2 linked regions of the Cricetulus griseus genome follow. The protein of the gene in region 1 interacts with the protein of each later gene in a pairwise test. Links are inferred from orthologs where the notes say so. Each region holds a gene or a part of one and is shown on either strand. Other genes may lie near its edges.

Region 1 (3,952 bases):
CTCAGAGCAATTGCTTTCATTGTATAGATCTAAAAAACTGATTTCCTCAAGTTTCTACAGGCTAGAAGCTAACTGATCTGAATTTGAAACAAATCTCATTCCCAATATTTCATTTTCCATTTAATCTGCTCCAAGATGAGAACCCAAAATTCCTTATTCTTCACGAGGAATCTTTCCAACATCCTCAGTTTAAATCTTAACTGGAAACAGTGTACATTAATAATTTTTGCTCTTCTATCCACGTTCTTCTAGAAGTAAACAAAATAAAGGGATTTCTGACCTTTTACTCTAGATAAGAAACTCTGACAAAATGAAGAGCAAAGAAAGCCCTTTCCGGATCTTCCTCATGCCAGTTGCACTTCCACTTATCTATATGTTAGTTGGAAAAATTATCACATTATCAATACTCCCCCAGAAATAGCGCTGGATTTTTCTCAACATATGACTGAAAAAGCGTTGGCACTGTTGCTTGGGGCTTGTAAGAAGACAAGATGAGAAACTTTAATTGATCCCTATCCAGATCAGATTCTATACTGTTTGGAAACATCAGGAAATGCCACTGCACCCAGAAGTGGTATTTGGGCCCAGTTTAGCAGGAACCAGGAGAACACAGGTGGGAATAAAGCTGTGGTCTGTTTTGAAAAATCATACTGATCACCTGCACAGACTAGATTGATATGGTTTATCATAAACTTTTTCTCAGTGCACACACACACACACACACACACACACACACACACACACACACACGGGTGGGGGCAAATTTGTAAAACATTGATTGAGGGAAATCTGTGCAAAACACTGATATTAAATATAACATTTTCACTCTTACTCAGAATACTATCTCTAGTTCAGATTCTGACCTAGTGTGTATTATGGACTTTGAGTGTTCATAGATAGTGGATATTAAGACAAACTGGGAGAATCAGTGTGCTTTGTTTGTAAAAGGTATTACAGAGAAATCCCTCAACTTTGACTGAGATATAGATTTCACAGCAACTGAAGACACACACCTTATTGATTGTTGGACAGCTCCCTCGACAGAGCATGCAGATTTGGAATTGACCCCAACTGGCCTCCTTTTATTTTCAGATATGCACTAGAACAATTAACCCTTTGATGATCATGAAAGTCTAGTATCAGTGTTTGCCTATCCTCTCTGTATATGATGGAATCATCCCCCTCCGAGTGGATTTTCAAGGTCAGCTATGTAGAAAACTCTTAGATTTGAATCATTAAGATTCAGCTGGAACCACTATGCCCAAATCACTTTACATTACTACTTTGAACCACAACTACATGAAGGAAATAGGGAAATAAGGGAAACCTTCATGTCCCTTTGTCTAGGAACACAGGAAACCTCGACACAGTGAAGCAGAGCTGGGGTACTCCTACGAAGTCACCAAATGCACTGTTTCTCTTTCCTTGTTGGTTATTTATAATCTAGATTCCCTAGAGATCTGTTTGCACTGACTCACCTCTGCTCAGAGATTGGGGGCATTGGGGGAGGGAGGGAGAGCTGAATAATGTAGGAAAGACTGGAAGAACATTTTCATTGTCTCTATTCCTTGAGGCTATCCTTTTAAAGTAGCTATGGGTTAAATTGATTACAATAATTTATATGGCAATATAAAATGTTAACAATATGACACGAGATTTTCTAAATATACAAAAAAAAGAAAATGGATTTTTCTCTATTATCACGTGGGTCCACAGGTTGTCAAGGTTTTCAGCTGCCAACTCATAATATTCAGTTGCAATTCCAAACTATAGAGAGGATCTGAAAGGATTTAGGTAGAGTGACTCATTCCTATTCTAATAGAAATGGTGTTCATTAAAATACCAGACATACCTACAGCTTTCTTCCGAATTTCTCCCAATGATCTCAGCCTGTCAGACACACCCTGAAGTGAGCTTTTTAGAAGCAACAGCTGAGCAGCCACCACTTACCTAAAAGTCTAATCCTCTGCGAACATATCCAGGAAGTCCTGCATTGGGGCATGTATTTCTAAAGAGCACCAATTCCCAAGCAACTTCTTAGCAGTTCATAGGAAATATGGGCACAATTGTTTTATCTGCTAAGCCAACCATTCTTCCTTCCCCTAATGATTTCATGGCTTGCTTTGATGCTGCCACACAGAGTTAATTAGGAACAAGACCTAGATTGAATGTCACAATTCAGATTTTCCTTTGTATAACCAGGCAGATAAGCATATCTAGCATTAGCAAACCCATGTAAATTTCAACCTCAGCAGAGATGGAACCCCATGAAGAGCGACAGCTAATGGTCCCTGTTGGTGACTTTGTAATCAGAAGCCTGAGCATCAGTCAACCTAATGTTTTGTCAGACAAATAGCCTAGTTTCTTTCAAAGAAGACTAAAAATGCAATCATAAACAAGAACATCCTTTCCCTCCAGGGGCCGCCACCCACTACTTAAATTACCTTCTTCCAGTTCATCCATGCTTCCGATTTTCTTGGATCCATCGATGGTGTAAATATAGCGCACTCCCTGAGGCAGATTGATGTTGTCCGACAAGGATCGAGTCAGGTCAGCCAGCAAAGCGTCAAAACTACGGAAACGGTCAGAAGAAACAGCGTACACAATTCCCTTGAAGTATCGATCCCCATTGCGATAGAAACGTACCTTCTTGGCCTTCTTCTCGTTACTTAGTGCCTGCAGGGTTCTGGTTCTGTAGAAGCTACAGTGGGCACTATGAGTAGGACTTGGAAGACCATTCATCCGTGTTCCTCTCATATTCCTGGATGCCTTATCTCTTTCATCAAAATGTCCAAAATCAAGTTCCATATTTTATTGGAATCACAGCAACCTGATTGTTAGAGAAAGGGGTGGGGATAAGGAGAGGCAAAGAATAAGGAAGGGTAAGAGAAAAAAAAAAGGAATTCAAATATTAGCCAGATCCAGAGCTGCAATCTGCTGCCTGTGAAAAGAACTGGTTGAAAAAAGCCCGTGACCCATCTGCTGCTTGTCCCTGACCTGCAGGAATATTGATCTTAATAGAAAAGGAGGAGGGGGCTGGGCAGTTGGACTGGATGCTGGGGAGGGGGACAGGAGCAAGAGATAGAAAGGGTGGCACTTTTGGCACTGTTCCAAATTTGGGAGGAGGTGTTGAAATAGCTTAAAACCCTGGAACTTACTGACAGTGGCTCCTATCAAATTGTAACTTGGGGCAAAATACATTAAAACTGGCATCTGCTACTTCACACATGGCCACATGACTAACAGTTGTAAATAAATCCCTAGCCTGACAAAATTCCCCTTGAAGAGAAACAGGGAACTAGCCAAGGTTAGCATCTCCAGCTTAGGAAGCAGTCTTTGCATCACAATACAATGACTAGGAAGAAGGATATTTTAATTTTATTCCAAATCTTTTTTTCCTACTCTAATATGTGTATCCCCTCCCCCAGAATGAACTAGGAGTCTCTTTTAAAGGGACAGCCTCCAGGGAAAACCCAGTGTCTTTGTGCTATTCATCAAACCCTCTCCCATCAAGCTGGTGCCGCTATACAGCATTCATAAGAAATAAGCTGGGGTTTGAAAAGGCGGAGGAGGATGTTGAAAAACCAGTATTTAACAAGCTATTAGCTCTGCTTTCCTCTTGTTTCTATCTGGTCACAGAATCCTTTTTGTCTTTTCAGGTGTTTCATCCTCTCCTGGCAAATGCAGCGACACCTTTTAATGGAATAATTTCATTGTGGAAAGATTCCCAAATGAGTCCTTGAATAGCATATGGGACCTTTACAAGCGAGTACACCTTTCATTGTTCTCATTTCTTCCCCTGACTGGAGGAACATTTTGCCCTCGCAGCAGGCAATTCACTTCAAACTTGTCTATTGCCTAGGTACATTGATGGAGGCAAAAAATGGTCATCTGTCATGCTTTGATCTCCCCCCCACACACACATGGCTGAACCCCTCCCCAGTAGAAAAAA
Region 2 (3,992 bases), on another chromosome or scaffold:
TTATGTAACACAAGAAAAGAAGAAAGTTGTCAATTTTTTTTCTTTGGGGCAGGGTCTCCTGCCCCAGTGTCCAGACTGCTGGAATTGAAGGTGTAAGCTACCATACATATCTGAATAAACATTATCAGTTAAGCTTACTTATGCCATCCTATCTTCAAAGAAAGTAAAATGTAATAAAACAAGTTTTAGGGCTGGAAAGATGGCTCAGCTGTTAAGAGCATTGGCTGCTCTCCCAGAGGACCCAGGTGCAGTTCCTAGCACCCACATGGCAGCTCAAAACTGCCTGTAACTCCAATTTCAGGGGAACTGACACCTTCACACAGACATACACGTAGACAAAACACCAGTGCACATAAAGTAAAAATAAATTATTCTTTTTAAAAGATAGTTTTAGAATCGAATTAAGGAACTACTGGAACCATAACATATTCAAAAGGAAAATTATCTATAGCTAAAATAAGCTTAAACACTAAGAACCTACCATCTCTTCTGTGTTACAATCAAGTTAGTGCTCCAACATACTTTCTAATCTGTTCAGGCCAATAACAAAAGGATTTGAAAGGTTTTCCTTATTTTTATTTTACACATATGGGTGTTTTTCCTGCAAGTATGTCTGTGCACCATGTGTATGAGGCCAGGCAAAGGCACTGGATCCCTTGGGACTGCAGTTACAGACAAATGTGAACCAACAGTGGGTGCGGAGCTCAACCCTGGGCATCAGGAAGAGCAGGAGATGCTATTAGCTGCTCAGCCATCCTTCCAGTTCCCACAATAAAAATTTTCTAGAAAACAGAATGATAATAAATGAAATCAAAGGCACTCCCAGGAAACTGTGAAGAGCAGGGGTTTTCTTGGAAACATCTGGTCTTGTGCCAGACAAAAGGTGCCATGTAGTGTTACGTTCCATCTCACCTGCTACACTGAGGAACACAGCCTCCAGCAGACAACATCCCTACTTAAAAAAGGGCAAGTGCACAGTCATGTGCTCAAAATCACAGTGGTAAGACGTACTTATAGGTAATTTACATTTTGAAAAATTAGTTGAGTTGAAAGTTGACATGGAATCTGTATTTTGGATTCTTTTCCCCCTTCCTTAAGAAAACTGGAGGCAGACTCAAGGCTCTGTCAGCACCAGACCTTCTGTCACTCTCACTGAACACAGGGTATTGTTAGGTGTCTAACAGAATTAATGCTAAGAGCTTCAAATACTAAAATAGATGCATTTTACTGTCCAATTATTTTAATCCTTCCACTTGGATAGTCTTGAGCAGCCCCTTCTGAACACACTGACTCCTAAAATTAGGAAAATACCCATCTACAAAATACTTTCCCCCAAAATCTCTCTGCTCATCGATTCGGCAAAATTCTGCTGGAGACACATTCATTTACCCAGAATAAAAGTGGCTAAATTCCCAACAGACACAAAGTTTTGTTTCCACACAACTTTTAGAGAAAAAAAAAAAGAATCAATTCTCCTGAAAACAAACTATTCAAAAAGTCTTGATTCATTTATTTAGCAAAACCCAAGAGCCCAGAATGAGTCCTTAATTTTAACTTTACCTGGCAGGTCACCAAGTCTGTGGCAGTGGCCAGGTCTGTCTTCCCAAGCTTGCTGAGATTTCCAGAAGGGTTAAGGCGATCAGTGGAAGGCCTTCTTTTAGCTTAGGGAGTTTTCTCTAAACTCTCTCCTTGGCCCATCTGTACTCTCCCCTCGACACAACTTTAGCTTACTGCCAACCGCAAGACTTTTTTGGCAAATGAAAACAAAATCTCTAGTAAAACAATGAAGTGCCCGGTCCACCTTCAAAATCATGTAAAGCACAGCACCTCATACAAAGACTTAACATCAACACATTTTGTTAATGTTTTTGTTTCAAGCTTTGAAAGTGATGAGTTTGTTTTATTGACTTAAATAACCAAAATGTGGCTCCTACAGTACCCTCCACTATGCTAGGACAGAGACTGACCGTAGTGAGTGGCACTTTAGAATAACAAAACAAAAACCCTAACCTCCAAGCCCCCTAATTAGCCCACTGCCTTATTCCTCCTGTTGTTTACATGCAAAGCAGTCGGTCCCCAGGGGGAGAAGATGGGACGGCTGTCTCTTACCACCGCATCCCACAGCTGCTCGCACGAAGCCTGTAAGAAGTGGGCATTCAATAAATGCCTACTAAACACTTTTGTCTAACAAGTTGGGGCATTCCCTAATGATGGCTCCACCCCTGTAGTCGGCCGCTGGCTCCCGAATCCAGACCGCTTGTGGCCTTGCTCTGATGAAACGAAACCTCATCGTTCACAAGGACCCAGGACAGGGGTAGGAGAGCCACTCGCCTCCATCCCACCGGGCAGCCGCTGCTCGGCTCATCCCGCCAGGATGCAGATCGGGAGCCCGTTCCCACAGCATCCCGGAGGCTCCATCTCCGGTGGGAGATGCGCAGGGCACCAGCCCCTGCCCCACCCCGCGCAGACAGCCGGGCGTCGGGACACGGGGGACGCCTGCGCACAAGAACCCCGCTCCCACCCGCCTGGCCCCACCGAGGCGAAGGGTAACAATACCCCTCAGCAGCAAGACAGGGTGGACCAGCGGCACCGGGACGTGTCTGCGCGCTCCCCTAGCCTCGGCGCGCTCCCGGCGCTCAACCGCCTGCGCGTGAGCGCGCGCGCGCGCGCGAGCCAAGGCCACTCCAGCTGATAGGGTCGCCTCACCTGAGTCGGGCTCCGCCCCCCTTCTCCGCGCAGGAGGAGGCGGTGACCCTCCTCCGCTCGGACCGACCCCGTGGAAGGAGGCGGGAAGGTCCAGACTGGCTTCCCGGCTGGGACTTCCGCCCGCCCCGCCCCCGCCCCCGAGCCTGCCCCGAGCCCGCCCCGCCTCTCTCTCCCGGCTCCTTCTGCCGGTTCGCGCGGTTCTTTGCGAACCCGGCGGCGGCCAACAGTAAACGGATGTGAGGTGGTACATATCCCCGCCCTCATAAACCGCCCATGGCCAATCAGCAGGAGGGAGGGCGGTGCCACGGCAAGGAGTGGCGTCTGAAAAACCTGACCAATCCGCGGTCCCAGGAACGGGGCTGTGTTTACTACCAAAGCATCCGTGAGCGCTCTGACCAATCGCAGTTTGCTTTACAGCATGTAAAGTCGTTCTCAAAGGCCCTCGAAGGCGGGATCTATCACTAAGCAACACCAGGTTTGAGCTGTAGCGAAGCGACTTTGTGTCACACCCAATCAAAATCCACCATGGATGGCAAAGCTAGGGTTTTCCGTCTAGTTGAGCCAATCACAACGAAGACTGCCGGCCCTGTGCCCCTCCATTGGCTGGTGCTGACAGCTTTCCCACCCTGCGGGACCAGGGTGTCTGACGTTGATCCCCACTGAGGCTCCCTCAAGCATCGCCCTGGAGGTAGTTCCCAACTTGTAGATTTGGGGAAAGAGAAAAACGAAATCCCAAGAAGCTGAAGCGCGATCCTAATTAGTCTTAACAATAAAAACCCGGGGTCAGATATGGAGGAAACGCTGAAAGATCAGAGAAGCAAAGCAGCAGCCATAGTCACTTCTTTCCTCTAGGAATCCTCAGACCTAATTGGGCAGGGTGAATCCTGTCTCCACCTCCCTAGTGCCGGGATTAAAAGTGTGTGGCACCACTGCCTGCCTGGTCTCTACAGATAACTAGTGGCTACCTCTGCCCTCTGATCTGCAGACAAACTTTGTCAGAATACAAACAAAGCCGTTTGAATCGAATGGAACCCAAATGCAAGCTTCACAATGAGAAGGAAATGCGGCCTAGTGGTCGTCTCACCTGGGTTGCCCGGTTGTCCAGACATAGCCACGGGCGGGTCCCAACTCCAAGTCCAACTCTTGCCCATCACCGTGTTGGCTCCAGAACCAAGTTTACAGTCGCCACCGCCTTAGAACTGCAGGGCTCAACCCTCTTAGCAATGATGCAAAAGAGTCTACAGGACCTGGTGGGGAAGGGGAAGGCTCGGCGGCCACCGGCCACC

What was found. The genes of interacting proteins can lie anywhere in the genome.
Region 2: the proteins of Dcx (region 1) and Zbtb5 interact in binary tests that used the Homo sapiens proteins (3 or more experiments, as listed by UniProt). The two-hybrid records come from large-scale screens. The link is inferred for Cricetulus griseus from reciprocal best matches to the Homo sapiens genes DCX and ZBTB5.

The regions. Positions count from the first base shown.
Region 1 is NC_048604.1:36,707,735-36,711,686, reverse strand, and holds the start of Dcx (neuronal migration protein doublecortin), read right to left. Parts: upstream 2,809-3,952; coding exon 2,445-2,808; intron 1-2,444. UniProt on the Homo sapiens protein: Microtubule-associated protein required for initial steps of neuronal dispersion and cortex lamination during cerebral cortex development. May act by competing with the putative neuronal protein kinase DCLK1 in binding to a target protein.
Region 2 is NC_048595.1:98,439,817-98,443,808, reverse strand, and holds the start of Zbtb5 (zinc finger and BTB domain-containing protein 5), read right to left. Parts: upstream 2,812-3,992; 5' UTR 2,707-2,811; intron 2,637-2,706; exon of another isoform or gene 2,140-2,636; 5' UTR 1,561-2,139; intron 1-1,560. UniProt on the Homo sapiens protein: May be involved in transcriptional regulation.